Caenorhabditis elegans: one gene and its partners. The protein of the gene in region 1 purifies or fractionates together with the protein of each later gene. This does not show direct contact. Each region holds a gene or a part of one and is shown on either strand. Other genes may lie near its edges. The genes, in order: nspg-7.1, K12H4.7, nspg-9 and irg-7.

Evidence for each region.
Region 2: the proteins of nspg-7.1 (region 1) and K12H4.7 fractionate together in Caenorhabditis elegans (co-fractionation; one large-scale study listed by BioGRID). This does not show direct contact.
Region 3: the proteins of nspg-7.1 (region 1) and nspg-9 fractionate together in Caenorhabditis elegans (co-fractionation; one large-scale study listed by BioGRID). This does not show direct contact.
Region 4: the proteins of nspg-7.1 (region 1) and irg-7 fractionate together in Caenorhabditis elegans (co-fractionation; one large-scale study listed by BioGRID). This does not show direct contact.

The regions. Positions count from the first base shown.
Region 1 is NC_003282.8:9,328,511-9,332,697, reverse strand, and holds nspg-7.1 (DUF19 domain-containing protein), read left to right. Parts: upstream 1-1,842; 5' UTR 1,843-1,845; coding exon 1,846-2,013; intron 2,014-2,144; coding exon 2,145-2,266; intron 2,267-2,658; coding exon 2,659-2,756; intron 2,757-2,869; coding exon 2,870-2,929; intron 2,930-2,975; coding exon 2,976-3,081; intron 3,082-3,336; coding exon 3,337-3,400; intron 3,401-3,498; coding exon 3,499-3,585; 3' UTR 3,586-3,658; downstream 3,659-4,187. Other genes in the region: clec-183 (C-type lectin domain-containing protein), read right to left, coding at 3,953-4,187.
Region 2 is NC_003281.10:8,047,904-8,053,006, forward strand, and holds K12H4.7 (Putative serine protease K12H4.7), read right to left. Parts: upstream 3,179-5,103; 5' UTR 3,138-3,178; coding exon 3,107-3,137; intron 2,591-3,106; coding exon 2,487-2,590; intron 2,439-2,486; coding exon 2,237-2,438; intron 2,194-2,236; coding exon 2,103-2,193; intron 2,058-2,102; coding exon 1,822-2,057; intron 1,775-1,821; coding exon 1,639-1,774; intron 1,373-1,638; coding exon 753-1,372; intron 704-752; coding exon 591-703; 3' UTR 547-590; downstream 1-546. Other genes in the region: mals-1 (Mitochondrial Assembly of ribosomal Large Subunit), read left to right, coding at 1-94, 146-307, 352-477.
Region 3 is NC_003282.8:14,455,249-14,462,930, reverse strand, and holds the start of nspg-9 (DUF19 domain-containing protein), read right to left. Parts: upstream 6,032-7,682; 5' UTR 5,932-6,031; coding exon 5,910-5,931; intron 5,909-5,909; exon of another isoform or gene 5,888-5,908; intron 5,751-5,887; exon of another isoform or gene 5,729-5,750; intron 5,532-5,728; exon of another isoform or gene 5,511-5,531; intron 5,129-5,510; exon of another isoform or gene 5,108-5,128; intron 4,991-5,107; exon of another isoform or gene 4,967-4,990; intron 4,409-4,966; exon of another isoform or gene 4,384-4,408; intron 4,248-4,383; coding exon 4,028-4,247; exon of another isoform or gene 4,007-4,027; intron 3,926-4,006; exon of another isoform or gene 3,905-3,925; intron 3,824-3,904; exon of another isoform or gene 3,803-3,823; intron 3,745-3,802; exon of another isoform or gene 3,724-3,744; intron 3,620-3,723; exon of another isoform or gene 3,599-3,619; intron 3,505-3,598; exon of another isoform or gene 3,480-3,504; intron 3,284-3,479; exon of another isoform or gene 3,263-3,283; intron 3,118-3,262; exon of another isoform or gene 3,097-3,117; intron 3,080-3,096; coding exon 2,992-3,079; intron 2,867-2,991; coding exon 2,803-2,866; intron 2,662-2,802; exon of another isoform or gene 2,638-2,661; intron 2,446-2,637; exon of another isoform or gene 2,425-2,445; and 11 more.
Region 4 is NC_003284.9:3,240,600-3,245,458, forward strand, and holds the start of irg-7 (Protein irg-7), read right to left. Parts: upstream 3,038-4,859; 5' UTR 3,026-3,037; coding exon 2,846-3,025; intron 2,803-2,845; coding exon 2,691-2,802; intron 2,637-2,690; coding exon 2,014-2,636; intron 1,968-2,013; coding exon 1,907-1,967; intron 1,842-1,906; coding exon 1,671-1,841; intron 1,624-1,670; coding exon 1,552-1,623; intron 1,506-1,551; coding exon 1,314-1,505; intron 1,266-1,313; coding exon 1,148-1,265; intron 1,099-1,147; coding exon 978-1,098; intron 932-977; coding exon 788-931; intron 742-787; coding exon 1-741. Other genes in the region: F40F4.7 (N-terminal methionine N(alpha)-acetyltransferase NatE), read right to left, coding at 3,667-3,792, 3,835-3,922, 4,059-4,261, 4,848-4,859.

The DNA of each region.
Region 1 (4,187 bases):
ACTTTTTCAATCGTTTATTTCTCGAAGCAAGAGAAACGATAGGATACATTTTATTCGCTATCATTATCAACAATATACTGTCTACGTGTGGGCAACTTATTAATGCCCTGCTAACAGTACCCTTCCGGGCGCGAGTCGAAATAATGCTTGAGTGCTACATTGGCACTTTTTTGGGTATTGAAGATTCTCCGCTCGTGGACACGGGTCATATTTGAAAACGACTAGTATTCAGATGGAGTGAGGTCTGGAGAATACGGTGCGTGAAGGAGAACCATCCATCCATGGCTGGTATGTTCCTACTTTTCCTGTTTCGAGAGGTGGGAACTAGCGTTGTTTTGCTGAAAACAGAATTGCTTGTCCATCAGGGGTGAACCATCGATGACTTCCTTCATGTTCCATGGTTAGATAACGTAGATGTCCCCACTAATCATTTTGCCCTCAGGCAGCAGTTCCCAGTAGAAAGGGCCCTACACTCCCCTCCACACTGAGAGCATGCCTTTTTTGGGGTGAAGGTCGGGTTTGGCGGCATCCTGTGGTGTCTCTCATTCTCCAATCCACTGAGCACGCTTGTGGTTGTTATCGTAGAGGACCCACTTCTCGTTACCAGTAATGAGTCGGCCCAACCATCGATCGGCCCCGTGGAAAATGAGGAGGGAAAAGGAATCACCCACTAAAAAATCAAGATTCGCCTGTGTCAAGGTGTGAGGTATGAATTGACCCATAAGTTTCTTTATTCCAAGAGGTTCCCAGCCTCGTACAATGTTGGTTTGACGGGACCCAAGTGTGGTTGACAGCTCACGGGTGATTTGGAAAGGATCCGTTGCCATGGCTTTCTGCAACGTGTCCAAATCCAATTTATGGGGTCTCAGAGTCTTCGAGAGAAAAGTCGTCCTTCTCGAAGCTTTGGAACCAATTGCGTATGATATTATAGTAGGGAACATGTGAATCATAAACATTCTTGAGGAGACTTTCCGAATCCTTCATCGTGGTATGAGAGAGGAAGAGGTACATCAAACCATATCGGATGTGGATCGCACTAGGGACATACATCGTTGGTTGACTAACTTCAGGCCAGAGGAAAGGGAATGAGGTGTTGCTTACAATGAAGTTCCTACTCTTGTTGTTATTCACTAGCAACGAGGGAATACCAAAGTGCAACTGTGGCGAGCGGTGGAAAAGCAAACCCAGTTATAAAGACTTCCGGACCAACCTAATAGAATTTCTGAAATTCCCAATAATGAATTAAAATCCACTTCATTATTATTATTACATCTCCATGAATTACGGACTTACTGTCAATGGTCCTGGCACGATTGAAAATTTCCCGCTACAGTACCCAAAATTTCTCAATGTTCTTTAATGTTTTTTTGGTTGTTATTTTTCTGGAAAACTTTTTAACTTCATGGAAATTATCAAAAATACGTCAAACATTATAAGAAAAATGACGCTCGAATTTGCAATTTCTGGACACTATATTTTGCAATTTATACTGGTCATTTTACTTATTTGTTCACACATCATTTTATTTATTTTTTAATCTTCCGGTGTAGCTCTTTCTTGTGACAAATAAACAATATTATATTATATTATCGTGTTTCCTCCCTTAGTCATTCAAATCTCCAAAAAAACATTAGTGTCACATACAACTGAGACTAAGTAAAGAAGAACCGGTTATTATTTTTGAAATCTAACTTCAAGCTGTCGCATTATTCAAAGTTCTATATTTATATCCAATAAAGCTTAAGAAAAAAAAAATTAAGATGACATCACCAATCCCCTTCAAAATTCTGCACTTACCGTCAATTTCCTCCCTGAACCTGAACGATATTATAAATTATTTAGAAAATGCGTACAATAGCATTGGCTCTTCTTGTACTTGTGGGAGTTTCCCAAGCAGCATTCCTTCTACCATATTCTCTTCCAAATGATCTTATTCAATTAATGGCTTTCCGTGAGACTCCTCAAAATGCTGCCATTTCTGCTTGTCAGGATATTCAATTCAATTATTGTCAGGTACATTTAATATATCCAATACACCTTTTACGGGTGCAAATTCGATAGCGGTTTGTAGAAAAATAAGTATTTGTATGTAATGAAAACTGATCATCAAAAATAAAATTATAGTTTCAATGAAAATTTTCTAGACAACGTTCAATCAGTTCTTTGGAATGGATGATTCTATTTCTTGGCGCAATGGATCTTACATTTTCAATACAGTTCAGAAATATTTGGAAATGAATGTTACAGAACTTATCAAGGTTTGCAAGTGAGTTGAAACATTGAATATTGTGGTATTGTGGTGATCTGTTAGGAAAAATTTATTTGTGAACGATCTTACTTTAAAAAATGTTATATCACTTCTGAAACTTTCGCCATTTGGTTTTATATGTGTCTATGTTAGCCATGATAATTATGTTCAATTTGTTAAATTTCAATTTCCTCGTCGTTTTTCACACTTAACATGTTCCACTATAACAGTTGAAAGTTTCATTGTCAAATTGACCGGGCATAAGACAAATTAATCATAGACTCATTTCTAGGCTTCATTGTTTATTACTGCTTACTACTGTTTAAATTTTAAATATTTAGTGAACTCATAAGTATTGCATGCTAATAAATTCAATAAATTCAAACATTCAAATCCAATGACACTTTCAGCACCCGTACTCAATTCTACCAATGCCTCGGATCTTCTTATTATACCTGTATGAATCTCTATACTCTTCTCAACAAGCCACAACCTGATTTCTCGAACAGTGAGTAAATTCATAGATATCGAGATTTTCGACCTGTCGTGAATGGCAATTCGAACGTACAACATTTTTTTCATATTATAATTGAAATTTATTTTTTAATGATTATATTTCAGCATTCGATTATGTTAGAACATTCCGTGGACTCGAGTGGATGTGCGTCGGAGGATTCTCTGGTAAGATTCACCAAAGACTTCTTTACCACTATTTTACTATTTCCAGAAGTAGTAAGCCAATGGGACTGTCTCGGTACTTTCCCAACTACAAATGCGTATAACTCTTGCATTCAAAACTTCAATCAAACAGTGTCTGCTGGAAACTTCTGCCCGTGAGTTATGAATAGTAAGAATACATCAAAAGTGGAATATGGTTAATGCATTTTGTTTTAAAATACTTAAAATGAAGAACAATTTGCGAAGGACTGAAAATTTCAATTTAAAAATTCGCGATTTCCCAATTTTTTACAAATCTCCCTGTTTGAATTATCTCCAAAGCAAATTCGCAATTTTACTCGTACTCCACCATTTGAACTATGTTTGGAAAAATACTATCTACTTTATTCAATTCAATTGTTCATATTCAGAGCAGTTCAACAAACTGGAAGCTGTTTGAATGACGCCTACAATGCCGCCTGTGGAGTCGGAGGAGTGAGTTTTAAAAATCTTCTGATACACAGAAAGGCAAAATAACAAAATTTAGAATTCAAAGTTGAAACTTTTCTGAAAAAAAGTTTAAATAATTGCAGGCTGGATACTTTGGATGTGAGAACTTCCGTATCACTTTCGACAACTCTTGCTGGGGACTCAGATGCATGGTTGATTCAACCAACTAATTCTTACTTTTCTATCAAGAACATTTAATATCTTTTTAAAGTTTAATATGATAAATTGGATTTGTTCGTTAAAAATGTTAAAATTTGAAGTTGTGGGTAATACTGGTCTGGAGTTTTCGCAACTATAATGAAACATCTTACTAAAAAGACTGAAACAAAAACAACTGTAATTATATAAATCTGTCCGAGGCGTCACAAAAGCGTCTCGCCTCTTTCCTATTTGCGTCATATCTGTTCTTTTCTATACTATTTGCTGCCACATCGACCTTAGAATTTATGACCTGAAGAAGTATATTTAAATCGAAAGAAAACAAATGCAAAAAAAGAAAAATAAGATTTTATTCGAATAATCAATTAATTTAGAACATTAAAAATCAAGTAGCACGCTTTCCACAAACAAATCCTCTGTACATGTCCTTCCAAGTAAGTGGACAAACTTGTGAAAGTATTTTCCATGTTCATAAGGGCTGGTTCCAGTTGAAGCCCAAATCCACATAAGAGCACAATTATGGGAATATCCGCTGGTTGGACCCAGTTGTGGTTCTCCCTTACTCCATTGAATACCTTGCTGACCTCCATCATTATTTCCATCGGTGAGTGCC
Region 2 (5,103 bases), on another chromosome or scaffold:
AGAGAATGTGGTCGGAGCTTTGACTGATCAAAGAGCAAAAGATGTATTTGTTGTAAAATCAGAAGAAACAGAAATGACACCGTATACACATAAGGTAATTAATCCTCGTAATTCAGTAAGGAGAAAATTAATCTCATATTTTCAGATAATTTGCTCAGCATTCAATTCGCGACAAGCTTCAGCAATTTCTGAAAATCTTCGATCTCTTCTAAAAATTGACGGAGTGTCGAATGGATCCATGTCACATGCACGAAGGAGCACAAAACGAAGCAATGGATGGTATGTCAGTGAGGTGGAAAGAGTTCAGGTATTACTTCCTACATATTATATTTTTTAATGCCTATACTTCAGGTGCACGTAATGAGTGAAGAATGCCGTGAGAAGTACGATTTGGAAGCAATTTGGGCTGGCGATGATCGGATCTTAGACGAGATTGATGAGGAGAAACAGAAGATTTTGCTGCCACCGAGACGATAATGTTTTCCTTTTGTTATTTATAACATTTAGATTATTGTTATTATTTTTGTAATATCGTTGATATGAAATATTAGAGTCAAATTTTCATTTCTATAACATAAAATCCATAACAATTAATTAGCATGAAGCCATCCATCAAGAACATCCGAGATTCTTTGGCGGGCGTTTGTCAAGTACATACTATCCAAGCTGGATGCTCCGTACATGTCAGCACAATGGGCGGTTCCTGGAATTAATGTAATTATACTATTTTTGTACATAAAGTTCAAGATTACCATTGATCACAACTGGCACAATATTGCTGTTCGAGCTTGTCAATTTTCCAAGTGCATGCCATGGATCAATATCTCCATTTGGTAGAAGAATTCTGTCAGTGTTCAAATTATCTCTTCCTCCATAATATTGATTAGTGTAATCTACAGATGTCTGAACTTCTTGACTATTGTATGCAGCTCCATAGATAGCAGTACATTCATCAATATAATATTGAGCTGGAAGATTGCTTACACCTCCGAACCATGGTCCAGCAGTAGCTGATGAAGTTGATTGATAATATCCGAACTCAGTGCAAGTCTGCCAAACCCATGCTCTGTCAGATTGAGCCTCTCCGAATGTTTCATCTTTCATGAAAGAAATGAAACCATTGTAATCAATATCATTGCATCCGAAATATCCACTGACTTGGTTAAAATAGTCATTGACTTGTTTCAATTTCTGAAGTGGTGTTGATTTAGTGTTAATGTGATAACGGCAAATGGCATGAGAAATTGTGAGTTGAGTGGCAAACGATCCAGCGGCATCACCAGAATATTGAACAACCTCCATGTATGGAGAATATACTGTTTCCCAGAAATACTTGAGTGATTTATCGTCCATTTGAATGTCTTGGCAGAGACTGAAAAATTGTTGCTTATTTTACAATATATATTTCAATTTGACGCATTGAATGAACACGCCAAGTTATACGCACTTCTCAAAACATTTGTGACTAGAATAGCTGACAAAGGAACTATGTAGAGACTGGAACTTCCAGAGAAAAGTTTCAAAAAAGTTAGAGCGGTTAATTCAGTTTGAAACGCGCAGGAATGGGGGGAATACAGAAGGTTCACTCGAGGTTTTTGGCTTTGGCTAACTAGTAAGCATACATCATAATAAACTCACTGGAAAGCAGTTTTCAATTGTTTGCGTCCATCGGAAGTTTGAAGAAGAGAAGCAACCAAGTTGAATCCTTGGGTCACACTGGCGGCACACTCAGTTGAGTTACGGGTAATTGAGTTTTGTACAACCTCAAGATACTCTGAAATAGAAAGTAATTGGAAGTAAATTGCTGCGTATCTTTTTAACCTTTGAAGTCAACCTCGGCTTGAACTGGACCACTGGATCCAACAGCAGCATACACCAATTCTGGATGCTTTGCACGAGTCCATGCGGCCAAAGCTCCAGAGTAGGATCCTCCGAAAGTGACCCACTTGGCATTGGCCAATTGTGGGAACTTGGCGGTCATTGCCTTAATGAAAGCGGCGGCATCCTCAATAGCTTGGGCAGAAGACAAGTATTTCAGGTTTGGTACGGACATGTCGCTGGAAAACATTAATAATAGGGAGTTATTTCGTAAAAAGAAATACCTGGTTGGGTGAGTCTCTCCATAGAATCTGTGCTCAATATCAAAGACCCAGGCTCCTTGTTTGGCAGCCAAGTTGGTGATTTCAAGTCCAGCTTTAAAAATAAAATGTCTTGTATGATAAAAAAGTAAACTAACGATAAGAAACCCAATAACTAGACTCTGGTCCTTCTCCTCCAAGCATCAAGAAAGCTGGTCCTCCAGCCTTGTACCATTGGTTGTTATGATAATATCTCTGCTGGAAAGTCTTTCCGACGGAAGAATCAAAATGATCAAGAGTTTGAGTGAAAGTAGATGAGACTACATTGTCAAAGTTGATCATATGAGAAACGGAAGACATCTGGAATAGACTTTTTTTGTTCTGTACATTGGATGTTTGAACACTTACTGGTGGAGTCTTCTTCATTCCTCCACGTGGACGTCCACGGATCATGTTACGACGAACACGCTGCTCATTGCTTGGAGCAGACAATACCTGGGTCAGCACACATGCTGAAATGTTAAGTTATTCAGTGTGAAACTACAGAAACTATGGTAAACATAGAACTGAACTTAAAATTTATTAATTCGATGGTAAATAATGTTATCAGTTTTGAAACCTTAGTTTTTAGACAGTTGCTCGTCTCGATAAAAATGAATCCACGAATTATAAATTTTGTGTATTTCGTTGTAAAGATTAGTAGAAAATTCTTTTGAAAGATTCAACAATACAACATTTGAGAACATTGGCTAGACTAGATCTAGGTCTAGATAGAGTATATTCCCGTCGAAAACAGTTTCCAGATTCCTTATTTCCAGAAAAATATGTGAGACTTCATAATTTGTTTTTTTAGATTTTGAGTAATAAAAATATGTTCTGGCCATATAGCCTAATGGTCACGAATTTTAGAAAAAAACGACTCATGAAATTTACGGAACTGGCATTGAATCTGGGCAACTTCACTTTTAAGCTCCTCAAAGAGAAAGTAGCTACAGAAATTCTAAAACGATGTTTAAAATTAAATTTACCTGCCAGTAGCACTGCCAAAAGAGTCTTCATGTTTCCACTTTCTAGAATAAAAAGAAAAAGTGAAATAAAGCAAGAGTTTTCAGTTGATAAGCACCCACTTATACACTTTTCCTTATCAAATAATTTATCGCTGATTTGCGAGTTCAATTCCGTTTTCGCTATCACATTTAAATGATGATTTTACTGATTCGTGGCACAACTACATTCGAAATACTAAATCATCTTTTAGACTGACGTACTTGCAAACTGGGTTCTTAGTTTACAGGAATACTGGGCCAAAGTTTGAAAAATAAAATAACAAAGCCAATTTCAGAGAAACTGCAAAGATCAATAAAAAGTTGGAATTCGAAACGTTTAATTGTTTACTGGAACTATCAAATTGAATATAATCTTTTCAAAAATAAAATTTCCATATTCATAACATCATACCTAAGCATTTTCTGTCAGGATATGGAAGAAAATAAAAGGAAAAGTTGGTTGAATAAATAAATTACTAATAGAGGAAATACGGTATTCTTCGAAAAACACTTGCAACAAGCCAGTCATCATTTCAAATTTTTTTAAAATTCCGTTTCTCCATTCCATCATTTTCCATAAATATGTGCACTGAACTGTTTTACCTGCTCTCACTTGACTTCTTCTTCTATTCTACCTTCTTCAATCTTATTTCTTTTCCGTTGTTCGCAAACACTAGCCACATCACGCCTCCCGGTTGAGGAGATGAGAGGTAGGTGCTCATCTATTCAATACTCCGTTTTTCAAGTTTTAAATCGAGACATTTGTTCAAAATTGGTGAATTAAGGTCTCGCTATGTTCTCGCAAGTTCCAATTTTTATTGATTTGATTTCTCATCACGATCGTAGGTGCTAAAAATTTGTCAAGAATTCTCACAGAAATCTAAACTCTAAAAATATTATTTCCCTCTATAATTTGCTAGCTTTCAAACGTTTATTTCTACATATTGAATTTAATTCTAAATTTCCAAATTACGTGAATGCTGCCTAAAGTCTCGATTACGCAATAGTTACATAACCAAAGATGTGTCTTGACACTCCTTCAACTTTTTTTCCCAAAATTCTCGAGGTAAAAAAGTGAAAAAAAGGGCAGTTAGAGACCACCTGGGTGTTGATGCAAGTCTTGCGTTGTGTCTTTTTTATACATTGAAATTTGGAAAAAAAATGCTTGAGAAATGAAATTATGGTAGAATACGGTAGAACTTGTATTTCCAAACTGTGAACGTGATGCATTTCTTGTTGGAATCCTTAGAGAATACGATATATTAGCAAACATCAAGAATCTTCCATTTTCCTTTTTCTTTCAAACTTTCGATTCCGTTAGCCATAACTTGCAATACGAGACAGTTCAAAAAGAGAAAAAACATTGAAAAACCATAGCATCTTCATAAAAAGTGCAATTAAATATATTGAGTAACCGTCTAAATGGTCATCTAGTTTTGTTCCGCCGTCACGCAACTATTAAATTCTCCATCTTTAGCCAATTATTATTATTCTTGGGTGTTATGCAACTTTTCTATTCGTACAGATTTTTCTTCATTTGGTTTTGGTTTTTAATATTCTTTTTTTTTGTTTTTTAACGTGTTAAAAAATTGTGAAAATGATTACAAAATATCAAACTAAATATTTTCCAATTTCGAAAAAATCCACACACATGTATTTATCGAATTCTATTCAAACATAAATTTCCCACTATTTTTTTGTCCAAAACAGAAAGAGTGGAATGTGTAAGATACAACTCAGTTTTTCACAAGTATCCAATCCAATTATGTGCACAGTCTCGAGTTTTAATGGTATGGGAACTTGGGATTTGAGATAATAAAAATAGTTGGTTACGGTGGTTGATGAGAATTTTTATTTGTTGCTGCATTGAGACTAAGAGAGTTGGATATCACGTGATTTCTCAATTTTCATAATTATCTACTATTGTATAAGTTGCTGGAAAATTTTTGACAAAATAATTGTTTTATGAACACTTACCG
Region 3 (7,682 bases), 5.1 Mb from region 1:
CTTTTAAATATTCAGGTTAATTTATTTTCAATATTCGATGGCTATGTGGACTATTTAGAGCTTAACTTGAATATATAAAATTTACAATAAAGAAAATGCGCTCCACTGAACGAATATTATTTTTTCGCAACAAAAAATTTTGATTGAACATTTCAAGTTTAGTATCTTTGTGCAAAAAACTACGAAAATTAGACAATTAGTTTAATTTGAAAAGTAATTTATGCGAAAAATTATATTCTGTTTCATATTATTTTCAAACTGTCAAGTTATTTTTTATTATTGGTTATTCAATAAGAATCCTTTTATGTAAAATCATTGTAACAAAATTCAAAAACCATAAAATTTATTTCAACGAGACACTACATTTACCGAAAGTCTATTTGCTCATTAAGAAAGGGGCGGAACCTTGTAAACTCCGCCTACAAAATGGACATAGATTAATTTTGTTTTAGACATGTTTTGCCGATTACTTAAGATGTAAAATTTCGGTTTTTAAAAAAAAAAATTATCGACTGTTTCAACTTGCTTTTGAAACTTCAAAATTTTTTTTCCAATATTCTAGCCGATTCTTCTGCATTCGAAATTGCGTAAACTTTAGTCTATTTGAGAAAAAACTACGAAAATTATACATTTTCGAATTATTAAAAAATTAATTTGAGCGACAACTCAGTCAAACCATTAGTGATCCAATTAGATAAAAACCATTTTAAATTTGGCACATTACTAACAAGCATTACTAATTTGAAATACCAAACTGTATTTTATTTCCCCCATGCTAAATTAGTTTTTCATTTCTAATTCAATTAAATTAGAAAAGTCATTTTAAATTAGAATTTGTACCCTTCTAATTATGACTGTGTTAACTTTGCTCGAAATCTAATTAAAAATGTTTTTTTTTACAATTAGATCACTAACGGTTTGACTGAGAAAAAAGTCTGTTTCATATTATTCTCAAATTGTCAAGTGATTTTTTGTTATTGGTTGTTCGTGTTTACCAACCAGCCGTTGACCGCGCCTACGGCGCGGGCACCTACCAACAGTACCCCCCCCCCCCACAGTACCACTACAGTACCTTGACATTATTCTCCACTAACTCCTATATCAACACCTCTTCAAAATGTTTTCAATAAATTGAAGTTTGAATTCCCGCCAAAATGATTTCAAAAAAATTTAAATTCGAACTTCGCGGCAAAATATTTATTTCCAGCAATTTCCCACCGAAAGTTTTAAGGGTCTCACCATGATGGGTCTAACCACGATAGGTCTCGCCACAAACATTCAGAATTTTCTCGAGTTTTTCAAAAGATTCTGGAACAATCCAAAATTTTCTCGAATTTTCGAGAAGGTTCTAGAACAATCCAGAATTTTCCCCAATTTTCCTGATGATTCAAGAAGATTCCAGAACTTTCCCAAATTTCCAAGAAGGTTCTGGAACATTCCAGAATTTTCTCCAATTTTCCAGAGTGTTCTAAAGTATTCCACAATAATATTATTAAAACATTTAAATTTGAATTCCCGTCAAAATGTTTTCGGAAAATTTCAATTTGAATTCCCGCCAAAATGTTTTCGAAAAATTGTTTATTTTTCTAAAACTACAGTACTACTACAGTACCCCGACCATATCCCCCTTCTAACCCCAAACCAATATCTCTCAAACATCTCAAAACGCATTGCCTCTTTAAGCTGTGACGTCACAGACTACAAAGACTACATAGACTACAAACTATGGACACACGGAATAAGTGCCAAAATGATTTTAAAAAATTAAAATTTGAATTCCCGCCAAAATGTTTTAGAAAAATTAAAATTTGAATTCCCGCCAAAATGTTTTCGGAAAGTGTCGAGTGGTTTATCGCGTACCTCGATCGATGTCGGGTGCGCATTCATCATAAGTAGCCTCAAAATTTTCTCAGTTGAATTTTTGCGCTGAATGTTGTGACGTCACCCGTGACGTCAGAGACAAACGGAATAGCGCTTTATATATGGTAATGATGTTATTACAGAACTTTAAAAAAAATTAAAATTCAACGAATAACTGCATTTACCACAAAATTTACTTGCTCTGAGAGAAAAGGGCGGAGCATCGCAAGCCACGCCTACAAACTGGACATAGGTACACTAATTTACTTTTTGACAAGTTTTATGGTAACACTTCTTCAACTTTTTTGAAAAATTTCTAGTGTTTCAATGTGTTTTCAAATCTTCGAGTTAATTTTTTTTGAGTTAGTCGCAGTAGGATATTAATAAACATAGTTTTGCGACAAAGCTCCATTGGATTGATTGAACATCTCAAATTTAGTATCGTTGTGCAAAAAACAACGAAAATTAGATAGTTAAATAGTTTAATTTGAAAATTAATTTATACGAAAAATTATTTTCTGTTTCATATTATTTTCAGATTGTCTAGTTTATTATTTTTATTATTTCTTGAATAAAAAATCAATTTATCTAAAATCAATGTAACAAAATTCGAAAACCATTAAATTCATTTCAACGAGATACTAGATTTACAGAATTTCCGAAATTCATTTAAAATTTCATTTTTTTATAAAATTTAAAATTCAATACTTTTTTCCAAAAAAAAAAATTTTACTGTTTCAATTTGCTGTGAAAACTCCAAGTTTATTTTTTCAATAATATTATTTAACTCAAATACTTCAAATTTCCAATAACTTTTAATGTGGTAAACTGCTAATATCTGTTCGAAAAATAGATTTCGCACTACATTTCAATGTAAAACTCAAAAAAATCCCCAAATTTTTCTACATTTTCCCCTCAAAATTCCAAAAAAAAAAACCCAACTATTAATTCCTGGGCCACAGTTGAAGGACGAGTATTGTCTATAGGTTGCCTCCACCGCGTAAGCCTGCAATTTTCGAAGATTTTCTTCTCATTTTTCTTGGCTTTCTGTGTGAAATACTTCTGTTTTTTTTTGTTTGAAAAAGACTAATTGCTGTTCCAATGTTCGTATTTTTAAATTCCAAAACTTACATTATTAATGTCAGTCTTCTTGATTAGGTTGTAAATGTCCAAACATCCACGGTTTCCGTGCATGCAGAGATTGAAAGTTTCGAGACTGCTGAAATTTTAGAAAATTGGAATTTTATTATTTTATGAGTGGAAAACAATTTTTAAAAACTGTATTATAATGTTTGTGAAACAGTAAAGTATTTTTTATAATTTTTGATTTTTCAGTGAGAATTTTCGATCTGTTTTAAAATATTTCCAATTGCATTTTTTGTTTTGAAAAATGCGCTTAAAGTCTGAAATAAACGTTGGATTACTAACTTTTCGGGAAATCGAATTGAATTTACAAAGTTAGTGAAATTGTACAGAACATTTTTTCCATTTAAAACATTAAAATTTTCTCAAACAGTTTCGAATTTGCAGTGCTCTTTCCTTTTATGTTGCATATAATTTAAAAAAAAATCGCTGTTTCAAATTTTTCAAAAAAATATTGGGACTTTCCAAATAACTAGTCACTCTCTTCAATAAACATTCGACTTTTAAAGGAATCATAATATGGAAAAAATGTTTGTTCTTCGAAAAATTACTGTTTGGTGTACTTTTTAATTGATATTTTCAACTTAAACATCGATAGAACAGATACTTCCTATAGTGTTTACAATTTAAAGCATTCACTCGAAAATTATGGAATTTGAGAGAACCATTTCTCACTATTACACGATTTCTAGTTACAATTAAACTTTATTAAAAACATAATTCTAGGGTGTGTTAAAAAATTGGAAAAAAAAAATGCTCCAAGTTCTCTATTTCAAACTGTTAAAAATATTCAAAGAAGTAAATACTGTTTTTTCAAAACCGGTCTTGTTTGTTTTCTATAATTTCCAACAAACATTGTTTCAAAGTTTTGTTAAAAATTCTGAATTTTCAAATGTCTCGTTGGGCTGTTGGACATGTAGAAAAAATTACAAAATTACTTTTTTAATCGAAAAGTTACTGTTTCACAAAGTATTAAAATCAATATTCTTCCTAACTTCAACATTGATAAATTTTCAAGACTAACTTGCAAACGGTCAACATATCGGCAGTCTGTCCTGGATTTCTTCCGAACATGTACAGGAAGTAGTTGTACATGATAGTATAGTCCTTGAACAATTGAGCAGATACCGTATCATTGAGCCCGAGGCTTTGAGCCATATTGTACTGGCAAGCTTGGAATTTTGCGTCGACGCATGTTGGAGGAGTTTGAGCAGAAATTTGGGTAGAAGCCAAGAGGGCAAGGGCTGAAAATTTGAAGTTTTTAGATTCATAAAGTTGGAGGAAAATTTTTTTTGAGGTTGGAAAATTTTCGTACTTCAAATTCAAAAAATTTTACATTTTTGGAAAATCGCCAAATAAGGAAAGTAAGAGCATTGCCCATTAGTTAGAAAATTTGTGACGTTTGTGATATGTATTATTTTTCACTTCTTGCGTATTTTCATTCATTCAAGAAAAAAAACGAGAAAAATTATAAAACCAAAGAAAAAAAAGAACCAAGATATGGGCGGAGTCTATTTCTTGAAAATTTTTGTTTTTTTAAGGTTGAGTAGTAGTCACAATTTTACATAAATTCAAGTATAGAAAAAGCAGAGCTAAAGTTTTTAAAATTTCAAGAAAATGTAATTATAGACCCCTTCCACATCTTGGTTGTTTGGGCAATTTTGTATTGCAATTTTTGCGGTAAAATAAAATTTTACTAATTGTAAAATAAGTGTGTGTAATAGAACTTACATCTTGTTTACTTAAATTTGGAAAAAAATTCCTGTTTCACTATTGTGATTTCGAAAAACCAATATGTTCTCCAATGTATCGCTGATAAAAGTACCTCTAATTATAAAAAAGTTTCTGAGATTTTTATATTCTAATTTAGTTTCAAATACTTGTAGCTAAACAGTTTAGGAGCCAAAAAATGCAAAATTTGCTTCAAAAATTTTGCATAAGCGCAGATTAAAACAAAAACCGATAATTCGTCGAAAACTTTGGCATCACATTTCGAAGCTCTAAAATTACTTGGAGTGTTTTTTCCATTAGATAAGTGTTCATATTGAATCAAAGTCCCCACTTAATCTATATTCACAGTTTGCTAATTTAATTTCATGTTAATTCAATTTTCTTCGAGTGAAAATTGAATTAAAATCAAAACCTTGAAGCTCAAAACAATGGTATGAAACAAAATTTTTTAAAACAAACTTTTAAATTCAGAGCCAAAATACAAGAAGCTAAGATATGGGTGGAGTATATTTTTTCAAAATTGAATTCAAGACAAAAATAGATTCACACTTTTAAAAAGTACCAAGAAAACTTCATATTAAACTCCGCCCACATCTTGGCTGTTTGGTTGATTTTGCTTTTTTTTTGTCAGTCGTAGATGTTATTTCTAGAAGAACTGTGCTCAAAAGAGTAATACAACCAGAGATTGATAGACCTTATTGAATTAAAAATTTAAATTGGAAAAAAAATCCTGTTTCACAATAGTGATTTAAAAATTCAAATTTTTTTAGTAGCGCTGGAAATGTGACAATAGCTAAATAGGAAAAATGTTAAAAACCTCTAATTCAAGGCTAAAAAAAATCAAATATCATGAATTATTACTCAGTTTTTGCCGTTAAAAATTTTGTAAGTTGACCAAAAAAGAAAAATCTCAAAATTTTTCGAAGATTCTAATTTTTTTCAGAACATTGACAGAACACTTTTAAAGCTCTAAAATTCAATATTTTAACGATACAAACTATGGAAACGGTTCAAAATATTTAAATATTTCATTTGAGTTGAAAACAATGATATGAAACAGACAATGTTTTAAATAAACATTTTCGAATTTTTAAAAATATTTTTTTCCGTTTCAAAAAATTAATATTCTTCTATCTTTTTTTTTATTTTCCAATATACAACAAAAATTTGCTCACCTAGAACCACAAATCCTTTCATTTCGACGAGCTTCTTCTCGGTAACTATTCTAATTCAAATAGCAAAACCAAGTGTCAACCAATTCTTCGTGGCACTTTTACATCTTATCAGACTCCCAATTCCCCAATAAAATCCTTATCAAGGTGTCGGCACACATGCGAGAGCCAACACAAATGGCATTAAAAAGTGGCAGAATTTCCGAAATGACGATTTGGGGTTGGGAGTATGGGTGTGGTTGTTTTCTGTTAATTTCTCAAAAAGAACTACACTTCATAAAAGAACTACACTTTTATGAACTTTTAGAAACAGTGACACTAAATTTCGAAAAAAATTAGGTGATATTCTTGGGGATTGTGCTAGAAATTACTTACATGGTCATAGGAATCTTAAATTAAAAGCTTCAAATCTTAAATGCAAATTGGAACTTTAAATAGGTGCAAAATTCGTTTTGACGTTCCAATTTCACTCACTATCAGAGAATTTACTGTTTCGAAATCTTCAGAAACAGAAAAGCTTTTGTTTGTTAGAAATATACACCAGAGTGAACATTATGTGCCTATTGCCAATAAGTTGCATGAAACTCTTTCAAAATTTGCTGAAACAGTGAAGAATTTATAAAGTCTCAACGGTATGTTTCGGTAGTTTTATATTCATCGCATGTGAGATTATAATTGCAACATTTTTTATTACCTCTGTTTAATAACATGCTGAAACGGTAAAAACTTACATCTCGCCGAGATAATAACGCGCCTCTAAGACGACAAAAAAATAAAAAATATTTTGCTAGGAGAAACGTGTCGAAAATCTTTGAAAAACTCGATTTTTGCACAGCCTAGACACTTTTTGATTGACAATTGAACACGAAAGGATGACTAAGTGAAAATTAGAACTACAACTTTATGAACTTTTAGAAACAGTGGCACTGAATTTCGAAACAAAATTAGGTGCTCTTCTTGGGGATTGCGCTAGAAATTACCTATGTTTTCGTAGGAATTTCAAATTAAAATCTGAAAATCTTAAATGCAAATTGGAACTTTAAATAGGTGCAAAATTCGTTTTGACGTTCCGATTTCACTCACTATCAGCATTGGGAATTTACTGTTTCGAAATATTCAGAAACATAAAAGCTTTTGTCTGTTGAAAATATACACCAAAGTGACCACTAAAGTGACATTAAATTGCATGGAACTCTTTAAAAATTCGCTGAAACAGTGAAGAATTTATACAGTCTCAACGGCCTGTTCTGGCGAGTTTTATAGAACACATGAAGCAATAAAAAAGTTGTTTCATTACTTCTGTACAAGCTGAAACAGTGAACACTCACATCTTGCCTAGAAAACCTCTAAAAGCCGAAATTGCATGTTTTTTTAAATCAATTTGCAGGCAACAAAAAATTCAACATTATATTGATAGGATAAAAGTGTTGAACATCTTTGAAAAACTCGATTTTTGCACAGCCTAGACATTTTTTGATTGACTATTGAACAGAAAAAGATTACTAAGTAAAAATTAGAACTGCAACTTTATGAACTTTTAGAAACAGTGGCACTAAATTTCCAAAATTTGTACCTATACATATGTGTTAGAAATTAATGTTGTTGTAGGAATCTCAAACTAAATAAATATGTAATTGAGAAAAAAAATTACATTTCATAATTATATGTTTTCCCCGAGAAAGCGGAGCGAGTATCGTAGCGCCAGCTTAAAGGCGCATCGCCTTTAGTGTTCGATGGGTCTCGACGCGATGAAATCTTGCCTTGGCCGCAGCGGCG
Region 4 (4,859 bases), on another chromosome or scaffold:
TTGGCATTGATGATCTGGTGGCGGGGTAGGATGAACGGCAGCACAGAACATAGTTCCGGCACGTTGAAGAGCCATGTCATTATTATCACGAGCAAAGAAATTGAAGTAAAGAACTTCTTCTGGAACACGGCAAGTGAATGGTGGGAAGTAGAAGTTGAATTCACAGGCATCTCTGTACATTCCACTTGATCCGTAAACCTCGGTTTGAACTCCGTCACGAATAGCATAAATCTGAAGATTGGCATGCACACGGTCCATTGAGAGGAACTGAGGGTAGTTGGTAACATGGAAAACTGGAGATGAATCAAATCCAAGAACTGGCTGACGTAGAACTCCTGCTGCCGAAGTAAGAGTAGAAGCGAATGACCAGAAAATATCATAGTCGGGGCTGTATTGAGTTTGTCCGCCAAAGTTGAACTTCTTCTGATAAACCTTAAACGTGCAAGCTGCTTCTGGTTCAAGTGATCTGATAGAGAAGAACCATTGACCAGCAACTGGCGAGTTATACGTCCAAACATAGTTCACACCATCAGAAAAGGCGGTGTTGAAAGTTGGATACTGTCCTGTTGGGCTTGTCACAACTAGAGTCAAATTTGTTCCAGTGGCTACAATTGTAACGTAGTCAACGCTAAGATCAAAGGCAGCTGACTTGTACAGATTCTGGCTGGAGCAGTGTGAGTAATCTCCGGAAAGAACAAGTTGGGATCGGAACAAGGTGTTAAGCATGTGTCGGTAGAAGAACTATAAAAGTTAATTGATATGGGAGATATAAAGTGAAGTGACTTACGGTCGAAATAGTGCTTCTGTCGCTGAAATAGAAAGTGTTACCACTTGAACGAGCAGCCATGTCCACCATATCTCTATATGCAGAGTTATCTGGAGATGAGTTACATCCATCGGCTGGAGATGGTTGAACGTAAATGAAGTAGATCTGAAATTTAAATAGAGTCAACATTATTTGCTTTCATGTTATTTACCGGTGCTCTCCAATAAGATTCCAGATGGAACACAGTTTCCTTCTCAGCACTATCATTTGGAGTGGCGTCCGTAATCACATAGATCGGGGATTTGTTTGTTGGATAGAGAGAAAGTGCAGATCTGTAATGAATTAGCATTTTTAAACATTATTACATACCAGTGAACTTACGCAACAGCAGACATGACAACATCATCACATCCTCCTTCGCTTGGAGCGGAATGGATAGCTTTTGTAAGATCGACCATTGCAGCGTCCCATGAATCATATTGTCTGTTCACCAAGAGCTCTGAAATAATACACTTTCATGTCAAATATGTTTTAGATCAAAACTCACTTCCGTTATCAAAAAGAACAACAATGAACTTTGATAGATATCCAGGTTCACTAGCGAGAAGATCAACAATACTTTGAACAGACTCAGTTGCTTGTTCAATAACTGCAGAGAGCTGGCTTCTTGATCGGATGACAAGGGTGAGAGTTGGGTTTTCAGCGTTGAAGTCAAAGCCTGACATGTCGGTACACAAGACTGCAAAGTTATTATGTTTTAACAGATAATTTTTACTAGTGCATACTATTCTGGCAATGGAAGCCACTGAATCCTTCTGGGCATTGACAACGGTCACTGGTTGGAGTCGGCAAGAAACCTTAATAGTTATTATAAAAAATATATAATTTCAAGGATGAATTGTACCTCCGTTAGCACAGAGCATTTGCGAGCAAGTACTTCCAGAGTAAAGTCCAAAGCAATAACAATATGCAACTCCATTAGAGTCAGTAAGCAACTGCCCTCCGTTTTGACAAGAAGTTATCGGTGCTGCAGGTGTTGTCGGGACAGCGGGGGTAGTAGTTGTTACTGGTGGTACTGAAAAGGTACTTTTTCTTAAAAGTCTTATATAAACTTCTTATATACACTACAAAGAAACTCACAGACGCATTGGTAAGGAACAATACGACGGAACTTGTAGCCAGAGTTAGTCACACCCTCCACCTGAAAACAAAAATTTGAATGTTTAGCACCTTTGGTTCAATCGAACTTGAATGAGATTGTGTCCAGCATCGTTATTGCTGGTTTTTCTGCAAGTGTATCTCTCCAAGATGTATGGATAAGTACAGTTGAAACGGGTTGTCATTGGAATGTATCTTGAGATGTGGTTCTCGGCACCGGTAAATCCAATTGCTTGGATTTGACCAGGAAAGTCCAAACCTTGAGCATGAATTGCAACAACCGACTCAGTATCGAAATATGTAAACTTGAGATTTGGATAGTCACTACGCTCGGCTTGATCTCCTGAAGTGAATCCACCGGAAACATGAATGCTACTGCGGGATGACATCATCATTGTACAAAACTGCTCGCTGGTGTCGGCTCGTGGTCCAAGCATATATTGTCCGGGAGGCAGATGCAAATAATTTGCAGTGAACATTGTTGGAAGTTGAATGGATTCGTCTGGGAATATGAGATCTCCATTTTCAGCTTGAAGATAGAATGTTGGGTTCAATGCTGACGCCGTCTCGACTTCAATTTTGATATTCCGCATCGTCTCGTCAACGACGACGATGTATGATTCAGAGCAATTAGCCAGATTGTAAGCATCAATTGCAATGTCATCAAATCCGTCGTTGTTCGGAATGTACGGGTTGCGAGCAGAACAGAGGGCTGAAAAATTTCTGCGTCATGGAACATTTTAGAAATATAAATCTTAAAACTCACGATATTGGCAAGTTTCACCGGTGTACCCTGGCTTGTTGCATCCTCGAGTAGCCATTCCAGCCAAAACGTGTGGTTCAGCAATGGATCTTTTGGAAATATGATGGGTGTCCAACTGAAATTAAAAATTCGAATCGCACCTGTTTGCTAGACCTTACAAAAATAACCCTTTCTTCCATAGTCCTGTACTTTTGCTCTCTGACTGGCTCGAAAAACTGCTTCTGCGATGCCGGACTCCATGATCTCAAAACCGCGCGTATTCTGTCCTTGTGACTGAGCTCCTGCTCAGTCGCCAGGCAGATCACGGCCAGGGCCGCAATCAAAACCCAGTTCCTCATTTCTAAATAAAAAATATTAGTTTTTTTGGAAGCAAACTTGAAGGGGTATTATCAACAGCTTAAAATGAAAAAGAAGCACTGGAGTAATGCGACTAAAAGTACTATCAAGAAAACCTTATAGCAATCAAAGTCGTTAAATAAGAAAATGGGTTGGGCACGCTCGTAACATCGTGGCAACTTCTTATCTTTCAATGCTATGCATAAGGGCATAATAAAATTTTCCCCCGGGCTCTCCTGATTTTTCATGTTCTTGTTAACAATAAAACGCCTTACATTTTTATGAGTCAAAATTCAAAACATAAAATTTGCTCGGACAATAAAAGAACCTCGACATTTAGAATTCACAATCGAATTACCAGAGTTACCAAAAAACAAAAAGTCAATAGAATTGAAAATGATGATACATGAAATAAAGCATAGAAAAAATGGGAAATCTCAAACAGACATGGTTTTCATACGGGTAGGCACGGTTATGCTTGAAGATGGGAAAGAAGACAAAACAACCATGCTGGCAATTGTCAATGGCTAGAGATCCAACTTGCAGACCAGGCTTGGATGCCACCAGTCGCTATGATAAAAATAAAGTAATTTTGAAAAGGGAAACAGTTCAGATATTGTATATCAAAATGAGCTATTCTAGTTTAGTGGCGGATTCGTTTGATGAGCAAGTAAGCGTCTCTTGGGCTAATACGATAGTAGTCCTCGATAATTCCGTCATTGGTGAAGCCATGCTTCTCATAGAATTGCACCGCATTTTTGTTGTTGACCTGGAAAATTACTTTTTTTCAGATCCACTTTTTTCTGGATACCTGCACATGTAAGTACATGGTCTTAATTTCTTCCATCTTATTGCACAATTTTAATGCGTAGTCGATGAGAATTGTACCAATACCGATTCTGAAATAGCACATTTTATTACCTCGTAAAACGCCCTTGGTATAATAATTAACGCTATTAAAACCGTCATTTTCAGGTAGAACTGTACCAAAAAAACGTCATTGATAAGGTAAATTTGATCTGACTCAAAACTCACTGTCGGTAGGCGGCAAGGGTTCCAAGTGTCATGAGATACAACGACTTCTCGTCTGAAATATCGTCAATGCGACAGCACACGGCGCCCACGACGACATCGTTGTAGTAGGCAAGACGTCCAAGTTCTCCGCAATATCGAGCTTCCACATAGAACTTGTCGTTGTAGGCAATTGGGAAGACATCTTCATTGAGCTTTTTCAGTTGCTGAAATTATAGTAAATTGAAAAATCGAGTTTCGAGTTTTATGAAGTTCGTGTATTTTTTGTTGAGGTTTGAAAAACAAATAGGATTTCAGAAATCGCGTTTTACTGATGAAAATGGGAAGGCTAAATTAAATTTAAAAGGTGGAGGTTAAAATCATCTGTTTGGTTCAAGAGTGAGTGAAGACCTTCAGCAAACTTTGAGTGTGCTTCAGCAAACTTTGAGTTCAACTACTTGTCTGACATGCTCGGTAGGCTACAACGTATTTTAACAGCTCATTCTATGCCAATTTACACAATTTTCACAGGTACAGAATACAGGGCAATGTTGAAAGCTTCAAAAATGAACAGCAAAGTCGGCCTAGGTTTGCTTTTTTAGCCATTCACAGAATATATATAAATCGGAACAGAATTTTATTGAGTGGGCTCACATTCACTGCGTGCAAGAGTAATATTCAATTTTTTAAGACGCAAAAATTAAGGCTACATCATATTCACATTGATCGAGAAAATATGGGTTTCATTTAATATTATGAATTCTAGTTCGTTTCATAACATACATTTCCTTCAACAAATTAATAAATTCTCACCAAAATGTTGTG